2 linked regions of the Mytilus edulis genome follow. The protein of the gene in region 1 interacts with the protein of each later gene in a pairwise test. Links are inferred from orthologs where the notes say so. Each region holds a gene or a part of one and is shown in the gene's direction. Other genes may lie near its edges.

Region 1 (7,229 bases):
CAGGTTGTTTATTTCTCTTTTAAAAATTGTTTCACATTTTGTAATGCAGACCCTTTATTCCATAGTTAAAAATATGGATTTTGCTCATTGATTAAGGCTGTAATGTGACAGCGAGTGACCCTTTATTAGATAAATCCTTTGGTATCTGATGGAAAGTTGTCTCATTGGCAATCATTTATAACACTCCTCCTTCGTTCCCTTTATTAGATAAATCCTTTGGTCTTTGATGGAAAGTTGTCTCATTGGCAATCATTTATAACACTCCTCCTTCGTTCCCTTTATTAGATAAATCCTTTGGTCTTTGATGGAAAGTTGTCTCATTGGCAATCATTTATAACACTCCTCCTTCGTTCCCTTTGTTAGATAAATCCTTTGGTCTCTGATGGAAAGTTGTCTCATTGGCAATCATTTATAACACTCCTCCTTCGTTGTCCTCATTTTCATATTTAGAGAAAAAACATTACCCTTAACTGTAATGTATTTCACCAACTTACCCTAAATATGCATTCATACTGTGTACAGTTTTAGGGAATTGATCACCTGAATCCATATCAGTGATTGAACTGTTGATCAATTCTTTGCTCTGAAATAAGCAATAAATACTAAACAAAGGAAAAATGAAAAATCATACTAAATAATTCACTGTATTAAAACTTTTAAAATTGGTGGTCAATCAATATATAAAGCCTTGTTTCTTATGTTAATATATCAGCAGAATTTTTATAACATTATCAATATTTGTCACAAATTTTCACATAACATATTCTCTCCTAAATGGTTATTATACATAGGGGAAAATTCTACATTAGCCTTTAATTTTAAGTTGATCTTGTCGTCATTATGAACAGTATTAAAAAAGTTCTTCCTAAATTCTAAGGCCTACTTTCTAATGAATATTTTTTTGTATCCCTAGCAACATATTTTATACAACTATCATTTAATTGTGTCTGTTTTATACCTTAGGCATTAGGTCATCACCAGTAACAACAGCAATATTCATCTCGACACCAACTGAAGCACATATCTGTTTTAATGCATCAGCACAGGCCTGTGGATTTACACCACCAGCATTACTTATCACTTTTATACCTATGATATATATGAAGAATGTATACTGTCAAAATTCATTAAAGATATCAGGCTGTTATTAAACAACCAAATACATAGGGACTCATCAGTGTTGCTCCAATCAAACAATTGCAAGTCCAAATCAATTACTTAATTTATAAGTAAACCATTTAATTCTTTAGGCAGGTTGTATTTTTGCCAATTTGAGGGAGAGTCTGAAAGCAAAAGTAAACTGTTACCACAGAGATAAGTCTCACCTTTTTGTTACTTTGATTGTAAAATGCAAATGTTAAAATTAAAATAGCAATACTGTAACGTGTAAGTTATGCAAAAAAAGTCAAAGTCAATGAACCATGGCTAAATGTACAGGGTCCAAAAAATCTTATTGGCAATGAAATGACAGTCAATCTTTATTTGATATATATATAAAACAATACCTTTAGACTTGATATCTTTGATGAATGGTGCCATACAAATCTGTACAAAATCAGGTGCATACCCTAGATTCTACAATTAAATACATTAATACTGAATTACTTTATAGATTTGTGAAATATGCTGTTTATGTAATAATGTTGGTGATCAAAATGAAAAATACAACATATTTAACTGTCAATCTGCTACACAATATTGAAGCCATCACTGTATTTCTTTGGGAAAAAATAAATTATTAATTGGTGGGTTTTCAATGAAATATTAAGGTTGTACCTAACATCTTCACTTAGATTAATTTTGCTTGTTTAAATTTCATAAAATTTTGACAAGATATTAACTTTGACCCTTTGACAAAAATATAAAAATTTCAAAAAAATTGAACCAACTATTTTATCAGAAAAATTACACTGGTTATACAGCAGTTTCACTGATCATTGAGAAGCTCAATATTTACTTAACAACACCACATAATGAAAACGTTTAGCTTATTTTACAGAGTTATCTCCCTGTAGTGTTAGGTACCACCTTAAGTGAAGTCAATGTTATCATTCCATTACAAAAACATTCAATGTCATTAAAAATTTCTTTGCATTTGTGTGGGATGGCTGGTTTCATTACAATCATTTTGAAGATAACATATAGCCATCTTCATGACTTCAATCAACTCCATTATTCAATTATTCAGTATCTTTCAATCTATGATCTTAAAGTGACATGTAAATAAAATCTACTTACGGGATACTTATGTTTAGCTGAAATTAACAGCGACATTGTGATCTCTGACAGGTAATCAAACACCAGGTAATCTAACTTTGTACCATAGATCAATTGAGGAGCTAAAAAATACAACATAACATGTAAATTTAAAATTATAGAAAGTGTACCATAGATTAATTGAGGAGCTAAAAAATATAACATAAATTATAGAAAGTTTAACTTTGTACCATAGATCAATTGAGGAGCTAAAAAATACAACATAAATTATAGAAAGTCTAACTTTGTACCATAGATCAATTGAGGAGCTAAAAAATATAAAATTATTTATAGAAAGTATAACTTTGTACCATAGATCAATCGAGGAACTAAAATATATAACATAAAATTAAAATTATAGAAAGTCATATTTGTACCAAATAGATCAATTGAGGAGCTAAAAAATATAAAACTACTTATAGAAAGTCTAACTTTGTACCTTAGTATAGATCAATTGAGGAGCTAAAAAGTATTATTAACTATTAAAGAAAGTCTAACTTTGTACCATAGATAAATTGAGGAGCTAATAAACATAAATTAATCTTATAAAATAATAAATGAATCAACAAAATTTAACCAAACAGAGATTACAGATAATGTTTTATTCTCAAGCAAAATAGGATGTCAATACAAGCACATTTTTTAAATGGCTTCAAAAGAGAGGTGAAAGATACCATGAGTCTAAATTTAAAATGTCCTGGCAAAAAAAGAAAAACAAGAGCAAACAGCATACAAAACACTTAAGACTGTCAGAGAAACAAAACCAAAGATTGGTAGAAGGAATAAAAACAATTAAAAAATTTCTACATGAAAAACAAATATAACGGTAAGACAAAAAAAAGCACTGAATTAAGGGTACTCAAAGTTGCTGAAATGTAGTTCAAAGCCAACTTAGTCTTCAACTAGAGCAGTAAATAAAAAATATATTACCAGACTTAAGTATTAATCAGTACACATCCAATGGATTTAGTGTACAAATTCATAAACTCTAAGAAACACATCACCATACTACCAATACCATAGATGTAATACCCATTATTACATTTATGCTAATGTAACCTGAGAGCACAAATTTCATTACAAAATTGCCTCCACAGGGACTCAAACCCGGGACCTCTGTGTTACAAGGCAGCACGCTAACCGACTGAGCTAAAGAAGTACTTCCTTAGCTCAACCGCTTACGGCTGACTACAATGTAAGTAACTACTAAGTTTTTCTAAGGGCAGCAATCCTGTTACACTTCCCCCACCTCAAGAGTCATTATACTCTATAATGATGATATTTTCATCTTTTTTATATTTATATTTTAACCGTGGGTTATTATTGTTGGGCGCCAATGTAACCGGAGAGCACGAATTTCATTACAAAATTGCTTGTCTCCACCGGGACTCGAACCCGGGACCTCTGTGTTACAAGGCAGCGCGCTAACCGACTGAGCTAAAGAAGTACTTCCATAGCTCAACCGCTTACGGCTGACTAAGTATCTACTAAGTTTTTCTAAGGGAAGCAATCCTGTCACACTAATACTAATAGCAAATAATTATTTTGACCCAACATGTTATTGAATTAAAAATCTTGAAATTTCAATCTTGTTAGATTTATCTTTAACAATATTTCTATATTGTCTTGCTGTTTGCTAGGGAGGGGGAATCATTAATTAAAATTAAGTTTAAAAGTAATACTTGGGGCGATTTTATGGGACGAATTGACCTAATACAAACTTTGAACTCTTACCAGCCACAGCTGTATCCCCCCAAAAACCGCAGGCACATCCTATTCTGACTGTTTTGCCCTGCAGTATTTGGGAGGAAAATCTTAAGTGTGTTACTCGTATTTTTTGTGGTGCAATAAACTTCGAAATGGCACCCGAAATTCTCCTGAGGTGCCTGAACCCAGTCATGTTTGTTTTTGTATTGGCCCCCAAACCGGAAGTGGCTCATTCTTTCGCCAACGCATGCTCTGTACATCACATGATTAATTTATACATCAACTTGTCAATATGGACGACAGCTCAGACGTCAAAACAGAATTATTTCCTTTTGATCAAATCCCATACGTATAAACAAAATGTAGCTATATTTAGCAAACTCAATTATATATTTTATAGCTGATTGAAAATTTGAAAGATGGCTGAGATAGCCGAAACGGTGTATGGAACTAACGAGGAGGGCCATGTCATGTCAGAAAAGGTTTCAGCACTTGCCACGAATGTTTACAAAGAATTTGAAAGGATGATTAAAAAGTACGACGAAGATGTAGTCAAAGAGTTAATGCCATTAACTGTAGGTCTTTTAGAAGGTTTGGACCAGGCGCTGCAAGATAAACAAGAATCAGATGTAGAATTGGAACTCTTGAGAGATGATAATGAGCAGTTGTTGACACAGTATGAAAGGGAAAAACAGCTGCGAAAAGTAGCAGATCAGGTATTCACAAGAGACATCTTTTGCTTTAATGCGGAGTATAATAACAACCGATGCATGAGCACAAATAAATTAATCAGAAACCTTTAATCTCTACGACTTTGAATCCTCAAAACCCTCAATACTCATATCACACCTCAACCCCTGCTTTTATAGTTTATAGTTCAAATAATTATGATGTCTTGCAACATGTTTAACCCTGCCACATTATTTATGTATATGCCTGTCCCAAGTCAGGAGCCTGTAATTCAGTGGTTTTCGTTTGTTTATGTGTGACATATTTGTTTTTCGATCATTTTTTTACATAAATAAGGCCGTTAGTTTTCTTGTTTGAATTGTTTTACATTGTCTTATCGGTGCCTTTTATAGCTGACTATGCGGTATGGGCTTTGCTCATTGTTGAAGGCCGTACAGTGACCTATAGTTGTTAATGTCTGTGTCATTTTGGTCTTTTGTGGATAGTTGTCTCATTGGCAATCATACCACATCTTCTTTTTTATATTGCAAGATAAATTGTTTGGACTACCGCTGCATGTGTACGCTAAATTGATGCATTTCAGTTACAAAATAAGTTTGGCCACAGGCTGATTCAGTCACATTACCAATTTGACCATATTGATTATTCAATATGCAGACTGCAGTCACATTTTTTCATAATGGTCATACTGTAAACTATATTAAGTATATTTTACTAAATATTGTTTTGTAAACATGGTAAATGAATAAATATCATTGATCGAAAAAAGTGATTTTGTCATTTGATATTGACTACATTTTTTTTTTTTGGTGCATCTATAGTTGTGGAAGATAAGTACTTCTGTAACTAATTAATTTGGCCTCACAATTAATACTCTTATAATTTCTGGTAATCATGGTAATGAAAACACAATTTCCCTGGAGTTTAATTTGGTGCCTTATTTACATGACATTATTTTTGATTAAACAGAACAGTTTTGCATTGGTTTTATCACATACTGCCTTAGTGGTCCTGGCAACAAAATATACTTGCAGGCTTTATTTATGATATCTTTGTCAGATATATAGATTCAGTGCCATAATCATGATAATAGATTATGTGAATCAAAAGATTTCCGAACTCTGTGATTGAAGATAAGATTCATTGGATTGACGTAAATACTTTATAATTTTTCTTTTTCCATTTGAAGTCAAGTTACTTTTTTCTTTCATAATAATTTAACCTTAAATTTCACTCTACATAATAACATGCAAAATTGTAATTCCTAAGGGCCCCTTCTATAACCAAATGTCTTTGACTTTAATTTAAAATCTGGGTTTTCCCAATATAATTCCTCTGGTTAGGCAATTCTGATAATTTTGCATGTCTGTCAGAATGATTTCTCTTTTATCCTGCATTTTCAAGGGATCTGTCTTATATCCCATAAAGGTACATCCAGAAAAGATGCTTGTTACCAAAAGTTCTCTATTTTCTAAATTACATGAATTACTTGCATTTCTAGTCTTGATATCTTAAAAGTACATTTTTATACGACCGCAAATTTTGAAAAAATTTTCGTCGTATATTGCTATCACGTTGGCGTCGTCGTCGTCGTCGTCGTCGTCGTCCGGCGTCCGAATACTTTTAGTTTTCGCACTCTAACTTTAGTAAAAGTGAATGGAAATCTATGAAATTTTAACACAAGGTTTATGACCACAAAAGGAAGGTTGGTATTGATTTTGGGAGTTTTGGTCCCAACATTTTAGGAATTAGGGGCCAAAAAGGGCCCAAATAAGCATTTTCTTGGTTTTCGCACTATAACTTTAGTTTAAGTTAATAGAAATCTATGAAATTTTGACACAAGGTTTATGACCACAAAAGAACGGTTGGGATTGATTTTGGGAGTTTTGGTCTCAACAGTTTAGGAATTAGGGGCCAAAAAAGGGCCCAAATAAGCATTATTCTTGGTTTTCGCACTATAACATTAGTTTAAGTAAATAGAAATCAATGAAATTTAAACACAATGTTAATGACTACAAAAGGAAGGTTGGTATTGATTTTGGGAGTTTAGGTCCCAACAGTTTAGGAATTAGGGGCCAAAAAGGGACCCAAATAAGCATTTTTCTTGGTTTTCGCACCATAACGTTAGTATAAGTAAATAGAAATCTATGAAATTTAAACACAAGGTTTATGACCATAAAAGAAAGGTTGGGTTTGATTTTGGGAGTTTTGGTCCCAACATAATAAGGGGCCCAAAGGGTCCAAAATTAAACTTTTGTTTGATTTCATCAAAATTGAATAATTGGGGTTCTTTGATATGCCGAATCTACCTGTCATGACTGTGTATGTAGATTCTTAACTTTTGGTCCCGTTTCAAATTGGTCTACATTAAGGTCCAAAGGGTCCAAAATTAAACTTAGTTTGATTTTGACAAAAAATGAATCAGTTAGGTTCTTTGATATGCTGAATCTAAAAATGTACTTAGATTCTTGATTATTGGCCCAGTTTTCAAGTTGGTCCAAATCGGGGTCCAAAATTAAACTTTGTTTGATTTCATCAAAAATTGAATAAATGGGGTTCTTTGATATACCAAATCT
Region 2 (7,772 bases), on another chromosome or scaffold:
ACTGTTATCTAATTTAAATATATGAGTATTAATTTGATCCTTTTATGTTAACAATCACCATTTCTTTATACTTTTCAAAAGTAAATACCAAAATTCACTCTTATAAAAGAACCGACAAACTATCAAATTCACCGTAATGCGTTTATTGTCGACGCTGGCTAAATAGCTATTGTCTATAAAAATAGTTTTGTTTTAACTTTGCCGGCTTCCAATCAATTGCGATATTTTAATCAGAGCCGGTAAACTGGTATTGCATATATTTTTATATTTTGCCGGTGCCGGAAAATAGCGGCATGCATGCACTCAGGCCGCCTAAAATTTATATTTAACTGTTGTGTCCCAGTGCCTAGCTTGATTTCAAATTCCAACTAAACTCGGAGGCAGAAGAGATGCGAGATGAGATGTGATATGATTGCCAATTGTTGTCACTAAATGACGAACATATGTTAATTCACCGACTGGCTCGTAATGCTGCAAGCTTACTTGAGAAGCAACAACACCCATTTCAAAGTCTTTGGTTTGACCCGGCCTAGAACGAGGCCCCTCATGCGGGGGGGGGGGGGGGGGGTCCTAGTAATCACATAATCACCATTTTTTTGCCAATATAATCACATAATCATTAAATATTTGCTTATCTTTAGTAATCAAATAATCATAAACTAAAAATACAGTCCTAGGTAATCAAATAATCATGAAATATTTGGCTTAATAATCAAATAATCATTAAAAAAAACGGCCAAGTAATCACATAATCAAAAACCCCATGAGGGCCCTCTAGAACCAATGATCTCCCGCACTAGAGGTGAACATACAACCACGAGACCAACCGATTATCGTGTGTGTGTGTCTGTTTCTTCTGAACAATTCAAGGGTTTGGCTTGGTTTTAATTTGTTGCATGCATAATGACATGTCTGGCGATTGAGCTTCTGTACAAATTTAACATGCTTACAAGTGGTATTTTTCCAAAAATACTTTATTATATTCTAGACACCGGTATTTTTGGCATGTAATACCCCTTGTAAGCATGATGCCTTTGTATGATTGTTTAATTCCACCGAATGCTCTTTGTATATCCATCTTAATTAACCAGTCAGAAGTATAATTATAATTAGGTATCATATGGAGTTTCTGCTTGACTGTATAATTTTTGAATGTGTAAGTGGTTCAGCTATATATATAGTTGTTGTTGTAAATACTGTCCAATAATCCTGTTTGTAAAATAAACTGTAAATAGCATAGTAGCAAACTTGAATTGTATGATAGGATGGATTCCTTTAATCAAAGGAAATAACCAATGACCAAGCTGGGCCACATTTCTTACTTCATCAGGCCAAACAGTTAGCCGTATGACAAACTCAAATGCATGACACGAAATTCTAGCACAATCTGATTTCCTGAGATGACTAACAATACCAATAGTATGCTTTTAAAATTATTATAAATTAACAAAAATAACCTTCAATATACTTGTCTATATGCTAGAACAACAATAAATATTTAAAGTTAAAATTCTTTGTTATTTGTACTTCCTATCATAATTTCCTTGGCTGTCAGAGGGTTGCTGCTCACAAGGAAGCTATATAAAACCAAGAGTTCTAAATGGTTAATTTTACGGACGCCATCACGAGTTGGTTGGCCGTTACACAGATGATCGGATATAATCCTTACGTATATATATATATATATATATATATATATATATATATAGTAACTATACACTCCCTTTCCCTTTTCACGAAGGTATCCCACAGAATTAGACTATTAACCGGGTTTGTTATAACATGAGCAACACAACTGGTGCCAGATGTGTGCATGATCTGCATCAGTGCTAAAACTTCCAAAGCATCTGAGATCACCACCAGTACTATTATAGTACTATTATTTAGATATAGGAAGATATGGTTGAGTGCCAATGAGACAACTCTCTAAGTAACAATTTATAAAAATAAATCATTATAGGTCGAGGTACGGCCTTCAACACGGAGCTATGGCTCACACCGAACAGCAAACTATAAAGGGCTGAAATATTAATAATGTAAAACCATTTAAACGAGAAAAATAACGGTCTAATCTATAAAAAAAATTATAAAAATCTATAAAAAAAATATTTGTCTGTTTGTCTTTTTCTTTCTTAGCCATGGCGTTTTCAGATTATTTTTGATATAAATATTACACCGAATTCGCTGGATACATTTGGTCATAAAAATAATTAACAGGGCGTTTAGGTATGTTAAAATGAGACCACAAACAAGCAATGCAAAAAGAAAAGAAACATTTTCACTGAGAAAAGCATACGATCTTGCGCAATGTATAAAATGGATAAGTGTCGAAATCATGTTGGACCATAACTTTGAGTGTCTATAACGGTACAACAATACATTTCAGAAGTTTACAGCCAATTTCATTGAATGTGTAGCTACAGGGAATATATTTGGTTAGCTTGCTTGCCAGCTGAACCGTGAAGTCATTATTAGGTAAGGTATACAACCCTCTTTTTGAAGTAACCTAGTCCTACATACACGATAGATTGGTTATCTGTCTCTATCGGACTAGTCTACTCTTAAAGGATGGTAGTTTACTGTGACCTAAAGATATTACTTTTAGCTATACACTCAATGAAATGGGCTGTAAAATGTTATTACAGATATAGACAATAATCAAATATATTTCCACAGTATTGTGTCTTGTATTGATAGCCACTTGTTGAAGGCCGTACGGTGACCTATAGTTGATAAATTCTGTGTCATTTTGGTCTCTTTTGGAGAGTTGTCTCATTGGCAATTATACCATATTTTCTTTTCTTCTTTTTTTTTTTTTTTTATATTAAAGTACAAAGGATCAATACGTGTACATGGTTGAATTAATCTATAATATATAAGTTCATGAGCTCTAAAACCAAACACGGGATTTTATATTTTTCTGCAATTAAAGCAAAAATTCACACAAGGACAGAATTTGTGTAACAGCATTTTATGTATGGTGACGAAAGCGCTGACTTGATATGCAGTGCATGATACCAAAGATATTATTGTATTATATGTATCTGATGATACATAGATGACTTTCATTTAAAATTCATCTTTTAAATTGTACAATTTTTGTATACCTCGCAGCAACAGCACGACCAACTAACTATACATGATGCCAACAAATTGAAAGAGCTGTTAACACTTGCATCATGCACTAATGTGTACCATCCGGGGACAGTTCCGGTCGGGTTCGTGATGTTTTAGATCTCTACGAAGTGTTCTTGTGAGTGCTATGTGCTATAAAATTTAATCAGAAAATATAATTTAGACCTAAAGTTTTTTGTTCGAATGATCCGTACGGTTTTTAAATATTATTTTCTGACTTTATGGATAACAAAATAAAATAAATTTCTTAATTATTGGCATACCGTAGTAAATGTGAATACATCAAGTTAAACAATGGCTAAGTCGGTTTTGGACAATGACAAAAGTCATAGACGACCCTCGAAGACATAAAATTCTGGTAATTATAATGTATTACTTTTTACAATTATAACTGTAAAAATGTTACAAGGATGTGTATTTACCATACAAATCATTGGTCTCTGCAAAAATTAGAGGAGCCGTTTTTGTTCGAGCTATCGGGTCGATCCGGCCCCACGTCGATCCGGCCCAAGTCGATCCGTCCCACGTCGATCCGGCCCATATATTTGTAAAGTCGATCCGACCCCAATAAAAAATATTTTTTCTTCCGTGGGATAGTATACACGATTCTTACGGGACCACTGGCTGGGGCAACTGATCAAACATATTCTACCTATAGTATTCAAGAAATACGACAGAGCAACTGACTATCATATTTAAAACAAATATAAACAAGTGACACAATACGTTATTATTAACACATAACACTTACAACCACAGATGAAGAAAAAACAAAAACAAAAAAGGAAAGCATAACAACCATACTGTATTTTTCTTTTATTACAAATTAGATGCAAAAGTATAAGTCAAAAACCAAAGTCTCGAAAACGAAAATTCTCAATCCCTTATAGAAGTTAAAAACAATAATTAATTTTATTAATTTTATTTATATTTAGATTTATTAAATTAAGTTTAAACTAGTATAGGTTAATAAGGCGCACCACCTATAAACAAAGATAGTCTATGATGTTACCTGAAAAAAAAATACAATTAATTATTATTTAAATGCAACCAACCAGAAGATCAAACTATAACATGTATAAAAAACTTGTTGATTACGTAACTTTAATTAATCAGGATTTGATTGATTTAAGTGATTACGAGTGGCATTACCTTAGTTCACAATCATCAGATAATTGTTGAATAAACAAACCAATTATATATTAAAATATATCTATAGTTCTTTAACTGGTACTCCAATACTTCACTAACTTCCTGATGTCATCCACCATCGGACACTTTTTGCAAATTCTATTTATACTGTTAAAAATTGTCACAAATTCCCCCAAAATCAATATAGTTTATTCATATTTTATTATGGGGCCGGATCGACGTTGGCCGGATTGACTTGGGGCCGGATCGGTTTGGGGCCGGAACGACCGGATACCTTTTCGATTGATGATTTTACAATAAATGTTCAACGGCATTATTAAATCTTACTGTATTTTTTTTCTTCCAATAACCTCAATTAAGATCTTTTACTTATTTTGTATTCTTGGAACTGAACATTTTACGATGATTATAAATATAACCAGAGATTCTAGTCCTGAGTGATTTTTTTTATAAATTTCAGAATAAAATCTGTCTTTTATCAAAACCAGTTATTCATGAAAACGGCCATGTTACTTGTGTGGGGAGTGAAGTTGTACACATAAACACTATATTTTGCTGTTATAGCTCTACTAAAATTTAAATACACAGACAGACATTATAAATTTAAGCTTTGCTAAAACACCACTGCACATGGCCGAAAACATTGGTGCCGACGTTGATTTGCAACTTAGAATACCCACCAACTGTCAAGTCTGACAGGAAAGTCCAGCTCAACAAGATGTATAGATTTTGTAATTTTTAATAGTAATACATATCTGAAAATTTTAAGGTAATTAACATATTTCAGGACAATATTCTCAATAAGTATTTATTTCTATATCCACTTAGCTTAGACGTTAACTTAAGCATGCTAAGTTGACATGTTATGCCTCCAAGTACAATCGGCTCTAGCCTCTACTATGAAAACCTGTTTTATTTTTAGGGCAATGTAGACTTGTGCAAACCACCCCACCCTTTCAGGCCATGCAGAACAGTATCTGTGGAACTGTAGCTCTAAGGTCCTTATTCTTTTTGATAAGTTGCAGGTGTCAAAAATACCTGAGTGTTCGGGAATCAGGGGTATCAGGTCCGTTCGCGCCCAATACAGTTTCGCACCCTACATGTTCGCATCTCGCAGGTTCACTCCCAGGTCCGTTCGCACCCAATTTTAAATAAAATTCCTGTTGAATAGTTAGAAAATCAAGATTGTTTTTTTAGTTGATTTGATGTAAAAACTGCATGTATTTAGCATGTTTAGCTGGGTATGAGTAAAAACATTGAAGATTTTAAATGAAAAACACAAAAGATTTTAACAGCTTGGCCCTTTTGATCTGAAACAATGAAACAAAAAATCATAGCAATGCACTAGAACCAAAACTTGATTAAAATTTATTCAACACAAAAAAAAAAATATGTTGTCATAGTCTCACTTTATTTTGAAACAATGAAATAAAAGTGAGCAATACACTTAACCAAAACAAGATTAAGATTTATTAAACACACAAAAAAAACCACATTGTCTCAATCTAATTTAGGACAATGATAACAAATACAGTAACACTTACAGTAATACACTTGCCAAAGCTTGATTTATACAAAGTTATCAAACACAAAACCAATAAAAATGGGGCGTGAACGTGTAGGGTTCAAAACTGAAAGGGGGCGAACGTGATAGTGTGCGAACAGACTCGGATTCAGAATTGGGTCAAGGAATCTAGATACCAAGTAAAATCTGCATCATCACAATTTGGCATGAGTGAAAGATATTTAACACATGTAAAAGACAGTTGAACTTGAAATCTAGACTTATCATGCTTATCGACACCTTGTAATGCCTACTAATGGTACTTTTTGTACTTTTATATTCCACTGGGCGGGCATGTTAATCTTTCAGACCTTATTGTTAACAGTGGCCTGGTAATGATGTGGGTTTTCTTTGATTTAATTCATGTGTTCCATCAGGAAGTCATACATCTTTATTTTTGTCAATATTTGGATGAATGAAATCTAGTATGTTAGTATGATCAGGATTACATTATGAGTTAGTAATCAATTGCTTTTTTTTATGCCCCACCTACGATAGTAGAGGGGCATTATGTTTTCTGGTCTGTGCCTCTGTTCGTTCGTTCGTCCGTTTGTTCGTTCGTCCGTCCATTCGTTCGTTCGTCCGACTTCAGGTTAAAGTTTTTGGTCAAGGTAGTTTTTGATGAAGTTGAAGTCCAATCCACTTGAAACTTAGTACACATGTTCCCCATGATATGATCTTTCTAATTTTAATGCCAAATTATAGTTTTGACCCCAATTTCATGGTTAACTGATCATAGATAATGAAAGTGCGAAGTTCAGGTTGAAGTTTTTGGTCAAGGTAGTTTTTGATGAAGTTAAAGTCACAACTACTTGAAACTTAGTACACATGTTCCCTATGATATGATCTTTCTAATTTTAATTCCAAATTAAAGTTTTGACCCAAATTTCACGGTCCACTGAACATGGAAAATTATAGTGCGAGTGGGGCATCCGTGTACTATGGACACATTCTTGTTTAATCATAACTTGGAGATGAAGATGTTTATGGCAAATTCTTTTATCAAATATCATCATACATGCAACATTTTGTATTTTAATGTATATATACTAATCATAATATTTGTGCATCATGAAATAATGATAAAAATACATGACTTCGCACATTTATTCTATTAACTTCATCTAACAGTTCAATTTAATAAAAATAGTAATAAGACACAAACAATATACGAAATTTAAATTAATCTTATAATTAATTGCTTAGAAGAAGCATACTTGAGAAAAACACATTTTAAAATTATTGTCAAATGTTCAAGTATACATCATTTGTACATTGCTGGTACACTAATAATTGCAACACATGCTAATTCATTTCTTACCTTTATTTCCTAACCCTGAATATATATGAAACGATTGTTTAATTTGACTAATCCCTACCTATTGCCTTTACATTTATGTAATAGGTGCCCTAATTTAAAACTTAAAAGTGTAGTTTCCACACAGATCTTTCTAAGAGTGCCCTTTTAAAAGCTGCAGGTAACATTACTTTTGCCTCTGCCTATTCAGTTGAATTCAATCATTAAAGTTTGATGCATAGTGCCTATACATGTACTGTCCAACAAGCATGCTCACTGATAAATGTATCATGTGGATGTTGACATAATTATTTTTTTTCTCTTAATTTTATAACATGTAGAATGGGCCTGATAATGCATAGTACATGTACATTTTTTGGCATTTATCTGATTTTTTTATAAATCATGATCGCTGCATTGCAATTTGGGCAATTATATACACAAATGATATAAACAGGTACATTCAAAATGTTTAAAATACTGCAAAAATTTGCAACAGGTTACATTGTACATGTAGGTTTTGCAAATAAGAAAAGCTTGTATTTCATTAAATTTTGACAATATGCAGCATTTCCTAAAATTCTAATTTATGACACTTGTTCGACAATCGGAATAATAATTGCA

What was found.
Region 2: the proteins of C-Jun-amino-terminal kinase-interacting protein 4-like (region 1) and kinesin light chain-like interact in binary tests that used the Caenorhabditis elegans proteins (3 or more experiments, as listed by UniProt). The link is inferred for Mytilus edulis from reciprocal best matches to the Caenorhabditis elegans genes unc-16 and klc-2.

Annotation. Positions count from the first base shown.
Region 1 is NC_092351.1:70,275,407-70,282,635, forward strand, and holds the start of C-Jun-amino-terminal kinase-interacting protein 4-like, read left to right. Parts: upstream 1-4,217; 5' UTR 4,218-4,382; coding exon 4,383-4,679; intron 4,680-7,229. Other genes in the region: uncharacterized protein, read right to left, coding at 495-583, 959-1,089, 1,506-1,575, 2,239-2,339, 3,991-4,156. UniProt on the Caenorhabditis elegans protein: The JNK-interacting protein (JIP) group of scaffold proteins selectively mediates JNK signaling by aggregating specific components of the MAPK cascade to form a functional JNK signaling module.
Region 2 is NC_092346.1:18,417,256-18,425,027, forward strand, and holds the start of kinesin light chain-like, read left to right. Parts: upstream 1-4,761; 5' UTR 4,762-5,056; intron 5,057-7,772. UniProt on the Caenorhabditis elegans protein: Kinesin is a microtubule-associated force-producing protein that may play a role in organelle transport. The light chain may function in coupling of cargo to the heavy chain or in the modulation of its ATPase activity.